Oryctolagus cuniculus: one gene and its partners. The main gene of each other region encodes a partner of the protein of the gene in region 2 in a complex. Links are inferred from orthologs where the notes say so. Each region holds a gene or a part of one and is shown on either strand. Other genes may lie near its edges.

The links.
Region 1: WASHC5 (region 2) and WASHC4 share a complex: the UniProt entries of both Homo sapiens proteins name them as parts of the WASH core complex. The link is inferred for Oryctolagus cuniculus from reciprocal best matches to the Homo sapiens genes WASHC5 and WASHC4.
Region 3: WASHC5 (region 2) and WASHC1 share a complex: the UniProt entries of both Homo sapiens proteins name them as parts of the WASH core complex. The link is inferred for Oryctolagus cuniculus from reciprocal best matches to the Homo sapiens genes WASHC5 and WASHC1.
Region 4: WASHC5 (region 2) and WASHC3 share a complex: the UniProt entries of both Homo sapiens proteins name them as parts of the WASH core complex. The link is inferred for Oryctolagus cuniculus from reciprocal best matches to the Homo sapiens genes WASHC5 and WASHC3.

The regions. Positions count from the first base shown.
Region 1 is NC_091442.1:107,790,697-107,794,259, reverse strand, and holds part of WASHC4 (WASH complex subunit 4), read right to left. Parts: intron 3,088-3,563; coding exon 2,948-3,087; intron 1-2,947. UniProt on the Homo sapiens protein: Acts as a component of the WASH core complex that functions as a nucleation-promoting factor (NPF) at the surface of endosomes, where it recruits and activates the Arp2/3 complex to induce actin polymerization, playing a key role in the fission of tubules that serve as transport intermediates during endosome sorting.
Region 2 is NC_091437.1:150,727,806-150,731,368, forward strand, and holds part of WASHC5 (WASH complex subunit 5), read right to left. Parts: intron 2,145-3,563; 5' UTR 2,017-2,144; coding exon 1,831-2,016; intron 1,027-1,830; coding exon 881-1,026; intron 261-880; coding exon 176-260; intron 1-175. UniProt on the Homo sapiens protein: Acts as a component of the WASH core complex that functions as a nucleation-promoting factor (NPF) at the surface of endosomes, where it recruits and activates the Arp2/3 complex to induce actin polymerization, playing a key role in the fission of tubules that serve as transport intermediates during endosome sorting.
Region 3 is NC_091440.1:106,635,179-106,639,513, reverse strand, and holds the start of WASHC1 (WASH complex subunit 1), read left to right. Parts: upstream 1-1,496; 5' UTR 1,497-1,627; intron 1,628-1,828; exon of another isoform or gene 1,829-1,961; intron 1,962-3,125; exon of another isoform or gene 3,126-3,147; intron 3,148-3,795; 5' UTR 3,796-3,800; coding exon 3,801-3,949; intron 3,950-4,335. UniProt on the Homo sapiens protein: Acts as a component of the WASH core complex that functions as a nucleation-promoting factor (NPF) at the surface of endosomes, where it recruits and activates the Arp2/3 complex to induce actin polymerization, playing a key role in the fission of tubules that serve as transport intermediates during endosome sorting.
Region 4 is NC_091442.1:105,008,155-105,012,202, forward strand, and holds the start of WASHC3 (WASH complex subunit 3), read right to left. Parts: upstream 2,820-4,048; 5' UTR 2,700-2,819; coding exon 2,649-2,699; intron 2,126-2,648; coding exon 2,027-2,125; intron 1-2,026. UniProt on the Homo sapiens protein: Acts as a component of the WASH core complex that functions as a nucleation-promoting factor (NPF) at the surface of endosomes, where it recruits and activates the Arp2/3 complex to induce actin polymerization, playing a key role in the fission of tubules that serve as transport intermediates during endosome sorting.

The DNA of each region.
Region 1 (3,563 bases), on a different chromosome or scaffold from region 2:
GTGAACCAGTGGATGGAAAATCTCTCTGCTCTCCCTCTCTTTGTAACTGCCTCTCAAATAAATACATCTTTAAAAAAAAAAAAAAAAGAGCAAATATAATAAAATAATTCCTCAACAATGGAACTACAAAGAGGTTCCTGATAAAGCAAATGGGTGTGCATGATAAAAGAACCCTTCTGTAGAAGAAGATTGTGAGAGATGATTTTGTTTCTTTACTAAAGTAAGAGTTGAGGCAAACACACTTTTATGACCAAAGGGTGCTTTATAGTCCAAGAGCCAAGTCTTTAAAAAAGCTCCAAAGTTGAAACAGGTCAGGTTATTCATAGAAATAATGCTTTAAAAGCCACAAAGCTTCACATTGCTTTAACATTTATTTATTTATTTATTTGAAAGTCAGCATTATAGGGAGAGAAGGAGAGACAGAGACAGATCTTCTATCCACTGTTTCACTCCCCAGATGGCCCCAACAGCCAAGGTTGAGCCAAACTGAAGCTAGGAGCCAGAGAGCTTCACACGGGTTTCCTAAAATCATACGCTATAAACATCCTACAGACTATAGAATAGAGGACAAAATCTATCAATTTTTTTTTTTTCCTAAAGATTCATTTATTTGGAAGTCAGTTACAGAGAGAGGGAGAGATGAGATTGTCCTGGGCCAGCGCCATGGCACAGTAGGTTAATCCTCTGCCTGTGGTGCCAGCAACCCATATGGGCGCTGGTTCTAGTCCCTGCTGCTCCTCTTCCAATCCAGCTCTCTGCCATGCCCTGGGAAAGCAGAAGATGGCCCTAGTTCTTGGGCCCCTGCACCCACATGGGAGACACAGAAGAAGCTCCCGGCTCCTGGCTTCCGATTGGCATAGCTCCGGCTGTTGCGGCCATCTGTGGAATGAACCAACGGAAGAAAGACCTTTCTCTCTGTCTCTCGCTCTCACTGTCTGTAACTCTACCTCTCAAATAAATATATAAAATCTTAAAAAGAAAATAAATATCGTCCATCTGCTGGTTCACTCCTCAAATGGCTGCAACAGCCAGTGACTGAAGCTAGGAGCTTTTTCTGCATCTCCCACATGGGGAGCAGGGGCCAAGCACTTTGGCCATCTTCTGCTGTTTTTCCCAAGCCATTAGCAAGGTTTTGGATCAGATATGGAGCAGCTCGGACTCGAACTAGTGTCCATATGGGATACTGGCATTGCAGGTGGCAGCTTTACCCACTATGCCACAACACTGGCCTCTGTCATTTCAATTCTCATGTTGTCAGAGAATGGTCAGAGTACTACACCCTAACAGTCAATCAATATACAGTTACATCAATAAACTTTGGCTGTAATCTCTTAAATTGGGCCAATTCAAGATAGAAATGTTTAGGTATAAAGGACAGTATTTATGAGCAATAAAAAGTTTCCACAAGCCGGCGCCGCGGCTTACTAGGCTAATCCTCCGCCTAGCGGCGCCAGCACACCGGGTTCTAGTCCCAGTTGGGGCGCCGGATTCTGTCCCGGTTGCCCCTCTTCCAGGCCAGCTCTCTGCTGTGGCCAGGGAGTGCAGTGGAGGATGGCCCAGGTGCTTGGGCCCTGCACCCCATGGGAGACCAGGAGAAGCACCTGGCTCCTGGCTCCTGCCATCGGATTAGCGCGGTGCGCTGGCCGCAGCGCGCCAGCCGCGGCGGCCATTGGAGGGTGAACCAACGGCAAAGGAAGACCTTTCTCTCTGTCTCTCTCTCTCACTGTCCACTCTGCCTGTCAAAAAAAAAAAAAAAAAAAAAAGTTTCCACAAAAGAAAGTTAACCTCATTCTCAGTCCTACAGCTTTTAGAATAAGGACCTTCCTTGCTGAAATTGGTTAGGACAGTACATGGGGCATAATACTGCCATTACTGAAAGCTAAAACATGTAAACATTCTGTGATAAAATGTCTTACTGGCCCTTCGCAAGAGAAAAAGAAACAAAGTGCTGACATATGGTCCAACACAGATGAGCTTTGAGACAATATGCTAACTGACAGAAGCCAGCCACAAAGGACCACATATTCTATGAGTCCTCTTATAGGAAATGTCCACAGAAACAGAAAGTAGAGGCCTGACGTTGGCTAGGGCTGGTAAGTGTTGGCATGGCATGCCTTATGGAAGTGAGGGGACTACTAATAGGTACAAGATTTCTTTCTTTTAGGTAGTAAAAATGTTCTCAAATTGACCATGGTAATGGTTGAACAATTCTGTAAAAACATCAAAACCACTGAGTTGTACAACTTGATTGGATGAACTGAGTGATACGTGAAACTCAGAAACACCATCTTAACAAAGTCAATGCGTGTGATCCCAGGACAATGTCAAGTTATGTGGTAAGTGTTCAGAAAATATCAGTTATTATTTAAGCAATAATAGACCACGGTTTCAATGACAGACTAAGAACTTTCTCAATGGAAACAGAGTAAGAATGATTTATTTTATACACATTAAAAAAGTACTCACACATCAAGATCACCTAGATAGCAGGACAGAACTTTCTGGAAATTATGAGAATATACTACATCTTAATTGGGATATGAGTTACATGGGTATGCATGTCTGGCAAAACTCTTTCACCAATATTCTTAAAATCCATGCATTTCCATGTATGTAAAATAACCTCAATAAGAAACAAATAAAAGCCTGAATATTCTATCCAGCTGTCCTCTTCTTCTTGATGATAAAAAACAAAGGCCAGTTTGAAAAGTTGGACTTTGTGCCATTCTTTAACAATAAAGGCTTTGAGTCTCTATCATTCTTTAAAAAAAAAAATAGCAAATTAAAAACACCTAGGTGGCTTAACGAAAACGAAATTAAAATCTTTTCCAAGTTTCTTTTAATACTTAGATTTCAAGTAAAAATATTTTGCCATTTAAAAAGCTGCTTTGAGGATCTAGTTTGTCCTGAAAACATAAACATAAAGAGAAAGAAATTTCAATCAAACCTTTAATGCTATAGGATCAAGATTGAAATCCCAGACGTCTCCAATAGAATCATCAAGCGCATCCTCGATTCTTCTCAGTTGAGACGTATACTCCTCGAGAAATTTCCCGTAATTCTTAAGCTGGACTTCAGCATGAATTTCTAAATTTAAATGTTAAAACGGTATGTGGTAAGTTCAAGAAATGAGTTACAGAGCATTTACTTCAAATAATCTCAAAAGTCACAACAAAGCATTGTTAATTATTACTTTGGAAGGTAGGAACTTCTGAAAAACTTCAAAGTTAAACAATAATGCAGTGTTCCATCTTCTCCAAATACATTAAATAATTTTAAAAGCAGTAGCCCATACAACCCATTACCATGTAACTGTCTGGACAATGCCTTAGACAACGTAATGTCTCTATGTTCTAGTTCTAAATGACTTTATTACCCTCCCCCCCAAAAATACGCAGGTGTAAAAATCTGTGTTGTCACAGAACTAGTACTTTAAAATGTTGCTTCTATACACAGTAAACTGCTTCAATAAACTAACCTTTGTTAAAATGGAGGTTTCAGATCTTCAGCATAACAATAATCACTCCCATAATGCCTATATTTACCAACATATTTATTTAATC
Region 2 (3,563 bases):
TTCTTACTCATATTCTAAATTCAGGCATAGATTTGGTGGCTAGAAGATAATTATCAGTTGGTTTTGCTTCTCTTTAAAGAATGATATTCTGTATATATTTGTGACTTACAAGGAAAAAAATGACGCTAAGTTTGACATTCTTGAATTTCCGTTTTAAATGGTCACCATTACTCACCAGAAGTTGCTTTCCATCTTCATTGAGAAGCACAGTTTCTATTGTCTGCTGAATATAGACCCCTTCATTGAGGTCATCTAGATATCTGCGAACGAAGCCCCAGAGCAAGTTATTTGTTTTAACAGAAACTTGAACATCTTGAAGAAAGAACAACTTTTAAAAAACAAGACAGGATACCAGATATTCTGGCCTTCGACAAGTTTGTGGTGTTTCATGCTCTTAAAAAATAGCATTATAAGCCATAATTCATAGTGATTTAGGGCCACAGGTTGATATTTATGCATGTTCCAAGTAAAAGGTCCTGATTTATGAATTCCAAGTATCTTAGGAATAATGACATAACAGCTTGGAATAGTTATTTAAAAGCTAATGATAATGAATTATTAAGAACTGCAGAAGACACAAAGCTAACTAAAAGACTAAGTTCCTTTCCTTCCCCTCCCCAAATGTCTCATCTATATATAATATGCTGGAATATGCTACTGAACTATAGGACTGCAACCTATATACTAAGTTTATTATGATACTTCACAGGAACAGGCATTATAAGATTCAAAAGTATTAAAGATGACTACTGCTACAAGAAAGAAAAGGCAATTGCAAATAGCAAATCTGGTAGTAACAAAAAGATGTACTTTCTACTGTGACCCTTCTCCCTCTTCACTGTTTACTATTAGAATAGGCTGTTACTAAGTTCATCAATACCTGTTTAAGTCTACAATATATTTATGCACACTTTGAAACGCTAAATAAAATCTGGTCACAATTTCTATGTTGTTTTCACGAAATTCTTCATCTAAATCCTGTAGCTCTGGTTTAGCTTCCAGTTTGCTTTCCCATAACTCTGGACCCTACGAAGAAAAACACATTTACATGAAATGTCAACAAAAGCATATGTGTTGGCAACAATTTCTTAGTAGTCTTTTGAAAAATTTGTCCTTATGTTCCTCAATATCAAAAACTTAAAGCAGAGAAACAGAAAGTCATGAAGATAACAGAAGCCTAGATATAAAATGCCTTTGACAGTAATGAAGTTGAATTGTAACCAAGACAGGCATGCTTTGAAGAGCAGAACAGTCAACGTGAAATACAGAACAGCAAACTTTTCTTTTTAAAATTTGATTATATCATGGGAAGACTTCCATGCAGTACTGTCATCTGATTTTCAAGTTAATAGGTGAGGGGCCGGCACTGGGACATAGCAGGTAAAGCTGCTTCCTGTAGTGCCGGCATCCCATAAGGGCGCCAGTTCAAGTCCCAGCTGCTCCACTTCCAATCCAGCTCTCTGCTATGGCCTGGGAAAGCAGTGGAGGGTGGCCCAAGTCCTTGGACCCCTGCATCTACATGGGACGCTCAGAAGCTCCTGGCTTCAGATCGGCCCAGCTCCAGCCACTGCGGCCATTTGGGGAGTGAACCAACGGATGGCAGACCCCTCTCTTTCTCTCTGTAACTCTGCCTTTCAAATAAATAAATATATAAACAAACAAATGAATAGCTAAATCTTAACAAAAAAAATAGCTGGTGCCACATTTGGTTCAAAAGTTTTGCTCTGTAAATCTCTCTATAATTACCTAACCTCTTAGAGTCTCATGGTTCCAAGGAAAACATGCTTGTATAGAAAAGATAGCAACAAAAATGCTACAGAAAGAGATTACCTTAAAATAGCTGAAATCAAATATGATATCTCCATATTTCTGTTGATCAACTCGGTCTTTTAACCTGAACACAGCAGGAATGAACTCCGACAGCCTCAAGAGTTCAGCAATGATGGCATTGCCGCAGGAAACAATCCTCAGGATGGCCTGGCCACAGAGGTTGTTCTCGGCTAGAAAGTCCAGCATGGTAACAGGGGTCGAGTACGCTGTCCGGACGATGAGAACAATGAGCTTGCTTCAGAGCCAGAGTCTGTAGATCAATAGATGAAACCAGGTCTGTGGATCGACCAGCTGCTCCATGAAACGACCTACATCTAAGAAATTTTAAAAAGGTATAAAAGTTTCCATGTCAAAGGACGTACCTGCATATAAACATGGCATCGTATTTTCCCTCAATCCCCCTCAAAAATTCAACTCCCCTAAAGGCTTATAATGAGTTCTGATACGGGGAGAAGGGCAAATGTTATTGACTGTTTATGTGGAGGGACTTCAACAGATTAACATTCTTGACATCTTTCTCAATCTTTTATTCACTTCTCATAAAGAAAGACAAAATTGTTCATTTTTGAGCTAGGGCAAAGGAATACATATGCAGTTCCAATGCACTCTAATTGCAGAAGCAAATCTATGATTGAATATAATAGCCAATCATTGTAAACACTACCAACAGAGCTGACATATCTCTACACATATCTTGAGGTATCTGCCCCAAGTATTTCCTAGAAATGGAATTGCAGGGCTAAGGTACAGCATGTCCAAGACTGCTTTTAAAATTACAGATGCCAGAGGCAGGCACTGTGGTACAGTGGGTTAAGTCACTGCTTGGTATGCTGCCTCCTGTATCAGAGAGCTGCTTTAAACTGGTTCCTCTGCTGACACCCCCGGGAGGCAGCAGATGAAGGCCTAAGTACTTGAGTCCCTATCACCCACATGGCAGACCCAGATGGAGTTCCTGGCTCCTGGCTCCAGCCTGGACCAGACCAGGTTGTTGCGGGCTTTTCAGGGAGTGAATCAGGGATACAAGATCTCTTTCCCTCTCTTTTCCCGCCTTTCTCTGTCACTCTACCTTTCAAACAAATAAATCAAAGAAAAGAAGAGAAAAAGAAAAGGAGAAACAAACATTAGAGCTACATTCTACAAAATTCTGGAAAGATGATTTATAAATAGTAAATTAAAAAGGTCCCAAATCTCACATAACTCAGCACACAGGTGTCTAGTTCTGTTAGCACAATTATTTTATTTCTCCTTTATCTAACGCACTGAGGATGGTCAGATCACTTAGTGCACTAAATAATTACTGGCAACAGGTCATTATTGAAGGCAACGGTTGCTATGCTTTACCTTGCCACTCCTTGCTGAGCACCTGTTTGCCAAGCTGGATATGAAACTGTTTAAGCAACTCACTTTTTTTTTAAAGATTTTTATTTATTTGAGAGGTAGAGTTACAGACAGTAAGTGAGTGAGTGAGAGAGAGAGAGATTTTCCTTCCGTTGGTTCACTCCCCAAGTGGCCGCAATGGCCAGAGCTATGCCGATCCAAAGCCAGGAGCCAGGTGCTTCCTCCTGGTCTCCCACGCGGGTGCAGGGCCCAAGCACTTGGGCCATCCTCCACTGCCTTCCCGGGCCACAGCAGAGAGCTGGACTAGAACTGGTGCCGCAGGCGGAGGATTAACCAAGTGAGCCACGGCGCTGGCCCTGCAACTCACTTTCTAGTGCAGAGGTTCTCAAGTCTGA
Region 3 (4,335 bases), on a different chromosome or scaffold from region 2:
GAGCCAGGTACTTATCCTGGTCTCCCATGGGGTGCAGGGCCCAAGCACCTGGGCCATCCTCCACTGCACTCCCTGGCCACAGCAGAGAGCTGGCCTGGAAGAGGGGCAGCCGGGACAGAATCCGGCGCCCCAACCAGGACTAGAACCCGGTGTGCCGGCGCCGCAAGGCGGAGGATTAGCCTAGTGAGCCGCGGCGCCGGCTATGCAACCTGTTTTAAAGTCTGTTTGCTTGCCGGCGCCGCGGCTCACTAGGCTAATCCTCCGCCTAGCGGCGCCGGCACACCGTGTTCTAGTCCTGGTTGGGGCGCCGGATTCTGTCCCGGCTGCCCCTCTTCCAGGCCAGCTCTCTGCTGTGGCCAGGGAGTGCAGTGGAGGATGGCCCAGGTGCTTGGGCCCTGCACCCCATGGGAGACCAGGAAAAGCACCTGGCTCCTGGCTTCTGCCATCGGATCAGCGCAGTGCGCTGGCCGGCCGCGGCGGCCATTGAAGAGTGAACCAACGGCAAAGGAAGACCTTTCTCTCTGTCTCTCTTGCTGCTCCTCCGCACGCGGAGGAGCCGCACCGGACCGGGCGCTTGTTGTTCCCTTTTTTTTACAAGTCCTTTCTAAAGTAAGAATAAGTAAACAGCAAACTCCCAAAGCGAGAATGAGTAGAGAGAAATGAGAAAGAACGAAGTAACGAACTTCCCCGCGAACTCTCCAACGCACTCTCCAACCAACCCACACCACTATGCCGTCTCTCTCCTCCTATATAGTCCTCCTCCGCCAATCCCAACTCGGCTGCCCACACGTCGAGCACGCCGCTCTCCTCCAATCAGGAGCAGCTCCTGCAGCTTGTCAAGTTGGTGAGAGGTAGCTGGGTAGAAGCTGTTTACTCCTCTCCTAGCGCCATATTGTGGGAGAGCAGATGCATAGAATAAGTCTTAATTCCAGTAACAGTATAGTCCGAGTTGCTCCCCACATCTCTCTCTCGCTATCCACTCTGCCTGTCCAAAAAAAAAAAAATCTGTTTGCTTGAAAATACTATTGAATCTGTATAAAAAGGAAAGAATTCATACATTTTTAATTGAAACTTGTATTATTTTTAAAGAGAGCTTTAATTATAAATATTTACAAATAATCTGTCAGATAAAACTATTAGGGAAGGATGAATTTGCCTTATAGTAACTATAGTCACTGCTTTTCCTATAATGCGTAAAGGATGTAAACTCTGAATGTGGGCCGGGGGCAAACTCCCACGCAGGTAAGGACAAGAAAATCAGCGTAGGCTAAAAGATTTGTTAGAGCGGTTTCGTAGGGCAGCCGGAGAGGAGCAGCGGCTCCGGGACCCGGGCTGGGTGTGCTGCCCCAGGGCGCGTGCACACGCACACACCCCCTGACGCTCGGGACACGGGAGACTCCGCCGCCCGCCGCGCAGGTGGACCCGGCGCCGGCCTCGCACAGTTCCGCCAGCCCACGGGCGACCTGCGCAGGCGCAGAGGCAGGGCGGTGCTAGGACCCGGCGGCGCCGCGGCGGGAGCGCGCAGACGCGCGGCGGGGCGCGGGGGGAGGAGCCGGCCCCCTGGGCCGCGCGCACGTGGGCGTGGCCGGAGGGGGAGCGCGGCCCCGCGTCCAGGGCGACGAGGCGGGTAAGGGGTGCAGAGAACTGGGGCGGGGGCGGCGGGGGTGGCGCCGGCCCAGGAGACAGCCCGGACCCCGGAAGCGGCCATGCCTCGGGCGGCCCGCGACCTCTGCCCTCGCGCGCGGCTGCCCTTAGGAGTCTCCGGCGGGCCCCGGCGGGCCCCCCGGACTTACGGACTGCCGGGAGTCGCGGTTCCGGCCAGGGCCTCGGCGCTGGGCCGGGGATCCCTGGGGCGAGGGCTCCCGCCTGCACCGGGCACCCGCGGGGGCCTGGCCGGTGCCCGAGGTGCGGTGACCCCGCGCTCTGCCGCCGCAGTTGGGGCCTGACGGCCCGCAGCGCAGGTTTGGAAGCCGAGGCGCGGACCCCAGGGACCCCACGGAGACAGGGGTGCGGTGCGTGTGCACGCCGGGGCGAGAGTCTCCGAGACGGTGCTGTAAGGGGCGGGGGAGAACGAGCGTGGTGCAGTTCACGATAAATACCTAACGGTCGTGGCAGAGTTTTTAAAATCTGGAAAAAAAAAATATTGAGCATGGCCTAGACGCAAGAAAAACACCGTTTTTAAGGATTATTAATGTGTTTGTGCCATGCATTAAAAAATAATAGAAAAACAGATAACCAGAAAGTATGTAAGAACCGGGGGTGACAGTCATGGGTTTTGGAACTGAGTAGTTAGGATTTCTGGCTGCAAACCTCCTCTGTGGAAGACGACTCCTGAGGAATCTTAAATCCCCCTGTGTCTCCTCAGCTGTCGATTGGGTCTGGGGAAGAGGTTACCCAGGATGCTTTTGCGATGAGCCCCGCAGGCAAGAGAGGTGATTGATTGGTTTACCGGCTTGGTGCTTAGATGCAGAAATAGAAGATGACAGGGGGTTTGTTGTGAAGGTACATAGCAGAAGAAAGGGGCCGTAAAATGTTAAGATTAGTCTTGATGGTTAGGGTAACGTGCAAGGAAAGAGGAACAGAGGCTCATTTCCTACCTAGACTAACGAAAAACTGCGAGCCACGTGATTCTAAAAGAAGAGAGGCAGGTATTTGGCCTGGCAGATAAGAAGCTCACGTCCCTTAACCAAGAGCTCCTGGGCTTGATTCCTCGTTGGGATCCTGCTGCCAGCTTCCTGCTGATGCAGGCTCTGGGAGGCACCAGTGACTGCTCCAGGAACTGGGTTCCTGCCACCTGCGTGGGAGACCTGCATGGAGTTCCCAGGCACCAGATTCAGCCACAAGCTGGTGTGGGTTTTGAGGGACGTGAACCAGTGGATGGGCGCTTGTTTCCAGTTGTCTCAACTGTCTCTGCCTGTCACATAAATAAAAAGTTAATGCAAACCATGTGAAATTAGTAATATATTTTATTTAACCTAATGTATCCAAAGTGGTCAATTTCAGCAGGTAACCAGTACAGAAGTTTGTTTTTGTTTTGTTTTGTTTTTGACAGGCAGAGTGGACAGTGAGAGAGAGAGAGACAGAGAGAAAGGTCCTCCAATGGCCGCCATGGCCGGCGCACCGCACTGATCTGATGGCAGGAGCCAGGTACTTCTCCTGGTCTCCCATAGGTGCAGGGCCCAAGGACTTGGGCCATCCTCCACTGCACTCCCTGGCCACAGCAGAGAGCTGGCCTGGAAGAGGGGCAACCAGGACAGAATCCGGTGCCCCGACCGGGACTAGAACCCGGTGTGCTGGCACCGCAAGGCAGAGGATTAGCCTAGTGAGCCGCGGCGCCAGCTTGGTACAGAAGTTGTTAATGCAGTATTTTGTTTCCCACTGGATCTTTGACATTCGTGGTTTTATACTTGAAGCAGAGCTCAGCTAATCACATCCCACGTGGTCGGCAGCTGCATGTGGCCGGTGGTTACCGTTTTGGACAGAGCAGGTCCAGGGGTGTCATTCCTGGCTCGCGGCCAGACTCCCAGCCCTGAGTGTTCTGCAGTCTGGTCTCTCTCTGATCTTTGTCCTGCTGCTTCTCCAAGGATGCTTAGGTCTTTGTTCAGGCTGCTCGTTCTGCCTAGGAGCCCCTCTGCACCCTCTCCTGGGCCCGCAGAGAGCCCCAGAATCTGCGAAGAGGCTTTTCCTAACTTCCTGCACCCCAGAAGGGCGGCTGGAGTGATGGCTGGGATCTCACCCCGACACCACCTGTGGGCGGGTGTGGGGAGGTGCTCACGCTCCAGTTCCTGCCCACAGGCACCATGACTCCCATGAGGACGCAGCCCAGCCTGGCCGGCCAGACCTACGCAGTGGCCCTCATCCAGCCGGACCTGCGGCGCGAGGAGGCCATCCAGCAGGTGGCGGACGCCCTGCAGTACCTGCAGAAGGTCTCTGGTGATATCTTTAGCAGGTGGGTGCTGCCCACCGTCCTGAGCAGTCCCGTACCCAGGCCCAAGAACGCACCTTCTGGCAACAGCTCCTATGGTGATTCTTGGACCCGGGGCCCAGCTGTGTTCCCTGTGCAGGAGTCGCCCAAGGCAGGAGCTCGGCCTGGAAGCTCTTTCTCAGAAGTGCCTGAGAGCTCCCTGCCTACTGTCCCGCATGTGTCCCATGGGTCCCAGTGGTGGCACTGCCTTCCCATCCATCTCGTGCTGACTTCCATCAAGGGGCCCTGTTCCTGCACTTAGTCCTGCAGCCAGCAAACACTTGCTCAGAGCTGGTGTGCGAGGCACTATGCTCCTGTCTTCAAGTACAGCGGTGAATGAGGCCCTGTGCAGCTAGCGTGTAAGCCCTGCA
Region 4 (4,048 bases), on a different chromosome or scaffold from region 2:
TAGATTTTAAAGTGTTCTCACCAAAAGAAAGGATAAGTGTGTGAGGTAATACATACATACATAGACAGTTTGATTTAGCCATCCCATGATGTATACAAATACCAAAACCTCATGTACACCATAAGAACATATAACTTTTGTCAATTAAAATAATATTATCTTCCCCCTTAAGATAAAAAAAAAAGGAGAAGAGGCAATGGACTACCTTTAAACTACATGAGCTTTTGGTCAACAGACTTTTCTCTAGAGTTTCAGGAAGTATTAAGAAATGGGATACCACTAGAACAGTTGCAAGAGAAGTTGAAAGAGGAACAGAAAGAGTGACTCACAAGGCTCTCATCAATGAGATTCTTGTTCACTTTGTCAGAGACTCATTCCGCAGGAACTGAAAACTGGTAGGGGTGATCCCTGCCTTAGGGCAACACAATCAAGTTGCTTTCATAGGTGTGTTGCTTGTTTTGCTTTTTTTTTTTTTTTTTTTTTTTTTTTTTTTTTTTTTTTTGACAGGCAGAGTGGACAGTGAGAGAGAGAGAGACAGAGAGAAAGGTCTTCCTTTGCCGTTGGTTCAACCTCCAATGGCTGCTGCGGCCGGCGCACTGCGCTGATCTGATGGCAGGAGCCAGGTACTTCTCCTGGTCTCCCATGGGGTGCAGGGCCCAAGCACTTGGGCCATCCTCCACTGCACTCCCTGGCCACAATAGAGAGCTGGCCTGGAAGAGGGGCAACCGGGACAGAATATGGTGCCCCGACTGGGACTAGAACCCGGTGTGCTGGCGCTGCAAGGCAGAGGATTAGCCAATTGAGCCGTGGCACCTGCCTTGCTTTTCTTTTTTAACCAGGACTACAGGGATGGAGCATTTGTTCCTCTCTGCTAACAGTCCTGAGATGGTTTCTGGGCCTATTAATACAAAATGCAGTGAATTGAATGCCTTTCTTTATCGATTATCTATTTCATTTTCTTTTGTCTTAATGGGAAAGCAGAAAACATTTTGATAACTAGTGGCTAGCATTGTCAAACAGCAGGTTAAGCCTCTCCTTGGGATGCTGGCATCCTATATTGAAAGCCAGGTTGAGTCCTGACCCCTGCACTTCCCATCTAGTTTCCTGGTAATGCTCCTGGGAAGGCAGCAGAAGATGGCCCAAGTACTTGGGCCCCTGCACCCATGTGGGAGACCCGGATGGAGCTCCTGGCTTCAGCCTGGCCCAGACCTGACTGTTGTGGCCATTTGGGGAGTGAACCAGCAGATGGAAGACCTCTCTCCTCCTCTGTCTCTCCTTCACTCTTTGCCACTCTGCCTTGCAAATAAATAAATAAATAAATAAATAATCTTAAAACAGTTTTCCTGTCTCCATGCAGCTTTTATTAATAAAAATGCAGCTATCACAAATTCTATTTTGGTAAACCTTTACGTTTTTTATAAGACAGAATGTTCAACTGACTCACTTGTGAATTATCTAAGTACTATGATTTAGTTTTCTTTTTCTTTTCTTAAACTCAATTTCAAACCATGTTTCACGTGTTCCTCCCCATGTTTTTTAGTTTTTTTAAAAGACAGCTGTAACTGGGTACTGAATCTTCACTTCTCAAGTCATTTGCAGAAAATGTTTTTACTCCTAAAATGAGATTTGACACCAAAGTTATGTTTCTGGGCTACCACCCCTTAGCCATCTTTTGGATGAAGGAATGTAAAATAATTTTATTATAAACAGAAACAATGTGTACTCTCAAATATAAATCTTTGGGTAGGAGAACAAATAGCTTTGCAAATAAAAGATGGGGATTCTCTTTTGTTCTGTTTAATTTCACTAAGCTGGATTTAACTCTCACTCAGAGGTCTCTGGATCCCAAGCTCAGCAGAGGTAGGTACAGGACTGAGCCTAACAGAATCAAAGAGGATTTGCTGTGTGATGGGAGGTCACAGTAGATGAATGCAGAGACTGTAGCTCGTGTTTTCCTCCATTTGTCAACCGCAGAAGGGCAAAGAGACGGCTACACTATGCCACAACCCAGTATCACAAGACCTACCTCCTCACACACTGTCGAAAAGCGGTTGAGGAACTGTACAGTGTGCACCACAAACTGGTTAAGAAATGCCACCGTTCTTTTCTGTTGAATAGCTGGCACCTGTGTTACGTAAAAACAAACATGATTTGGCAGGAGGAACGTAGATCGCCCAATCCCTTCAGACATCATAGCGGAACATTTTGCCGTGTGATATGAATTTCTTGGACTACGAATAGTCATTAGCTTGTTTTCCCAAACTGTGGGTGGGGTGTCACCTGCAGAAACATTTTTACAACGCGCCCTAGATTCACGAGCACGGATTTTTAGCAGGTTAAACCAACATATATAAATACACAAAACCTGGGATTAGATAAAAGAGAGGTTAAAGGTCGCAACCAGTCTGTCTCCGGCGGGCAATGACACAGGAAGTGAGAGCTCACAGAGGACCCTCATCAACTAAGTCAACTCGAGAGGGTCCCTCTTCAAGGAAAGTGATTGTGGCACTCAGCCTCCTAAGTCAGCCGAACAGGGGCCCAGGGCCAAGATAGGGCCTGGAGAAGTGGGGTCTCCCGGGGAACCGGACGTCCCTTCCCCAGCCCCCTCCTCCCCAGTCACCGGAAGTTCATCTCGGTCTTCTACAAACCTTGGTCAGGTCTATGCCCGACCCCATGAGTGGAAGCCCATCCTCATCCATCTCCTCGGCGGGCGGGAGGACCCAGGCTCACCCACACACCCCTCCCAGAAGGGCCCCGCCCAACCCGGTAATCGCGTCGCAACACCTCCTCAAGTCCCCGCCTCCGTGGCCCTTCCCACCGGAAGGAAACCCCTCCGCTCGCCAATCACAACCTCGGCTCACGGAAAGCCCGCCCACTTTCGCTCGGCATTCTGGGGCGGGTAGTTCTTGGTCTGGATTGTGACGTTGGTCGGGGACTCGGGCTGCAGCCTTTCTAGCAGTTAACTTCTTGAATGTTGGGGTGAGGGGTGGGGACGGGGCAAGCGTGGAAAGTACGATCAAGAATTGGCCCGTTTGAAATGATCCCTACTTAGCTCTGTCTGTTGTATAAACAGTGTCATTGGTTGAACAATTTTTTTTTTTTTTTTTTAATCCTACTACGCGCTAGGCCTGCGCGGAATACAAAGATTGAGTCAGCTTGAGTCAGCACACTGAGGAGGCTCCTGCTCTGGAGGAGGTAAGACCTGTCTCCAAAGACATTTAACACTGTGATAAAACCATGGCAAACGCTGCCGGTGAGGCGTAAAATATGCAGGGTGCTCACCCTGTAGCAGTGTCGTCAGAAACGCGCTCACAGTGTTCCGGAAAGACCTTGCACCTGGAATTTGAATATCTTGGCCCAGATTTTGACCATGCAAAACGATTTTCCAGCTCTGCAACGTGGGGCAAGTCACGTAACCAGAATTTGGAACCCAGTCAAGGTGGTCCCTACCGAGAGACGAAGACTTCAAGAACTGTATATGGTGTAGGGAAGACACACATAGCAGAGTTAGACGTGCAAGCAAAATACTGTGAAAGTTGTGGGTGAGCAGAGAGGCACACGCAAACACTTGTGTACACCTGCATCCTCTCGGAAACAAAGTGCTGTGGTGCTACAGGGGAAAGGTGCTCCTGGGTCCTCTGAGAACATTGGCCACGGCAGCTGTTCAGCACCCATGTCACATTAGGAGATGGTAGGCAGTTTGTGGTAGACCTTCGGACAAAGGCAGAGAGGTGTGAGGGGGTTTGGTACATAAAGGAAATGCAAAATTTTTGCTTTTGTGGAAGCAGAAAGTCCCAGAAGTGGAAAAAAGTAAGAAATGAGGTGGGAAAAAAGGAGAATCTCAGTGAAGGCCAATTTTTATACTATGATCTGTGTTGCTCTAAGTGTCTTAGAGATTTCCTGCTTTAATTATTTAGGAGTGGGTGGTACTTCTGAAAATGTACATTCCAGCAATTGATTAACCCCAGATAAACTACATCAAGACTTATGCTGAATGAGTCCAGAAATTTGCATTTTAACTTGTCCCACCATCCAGAATTATAAACCA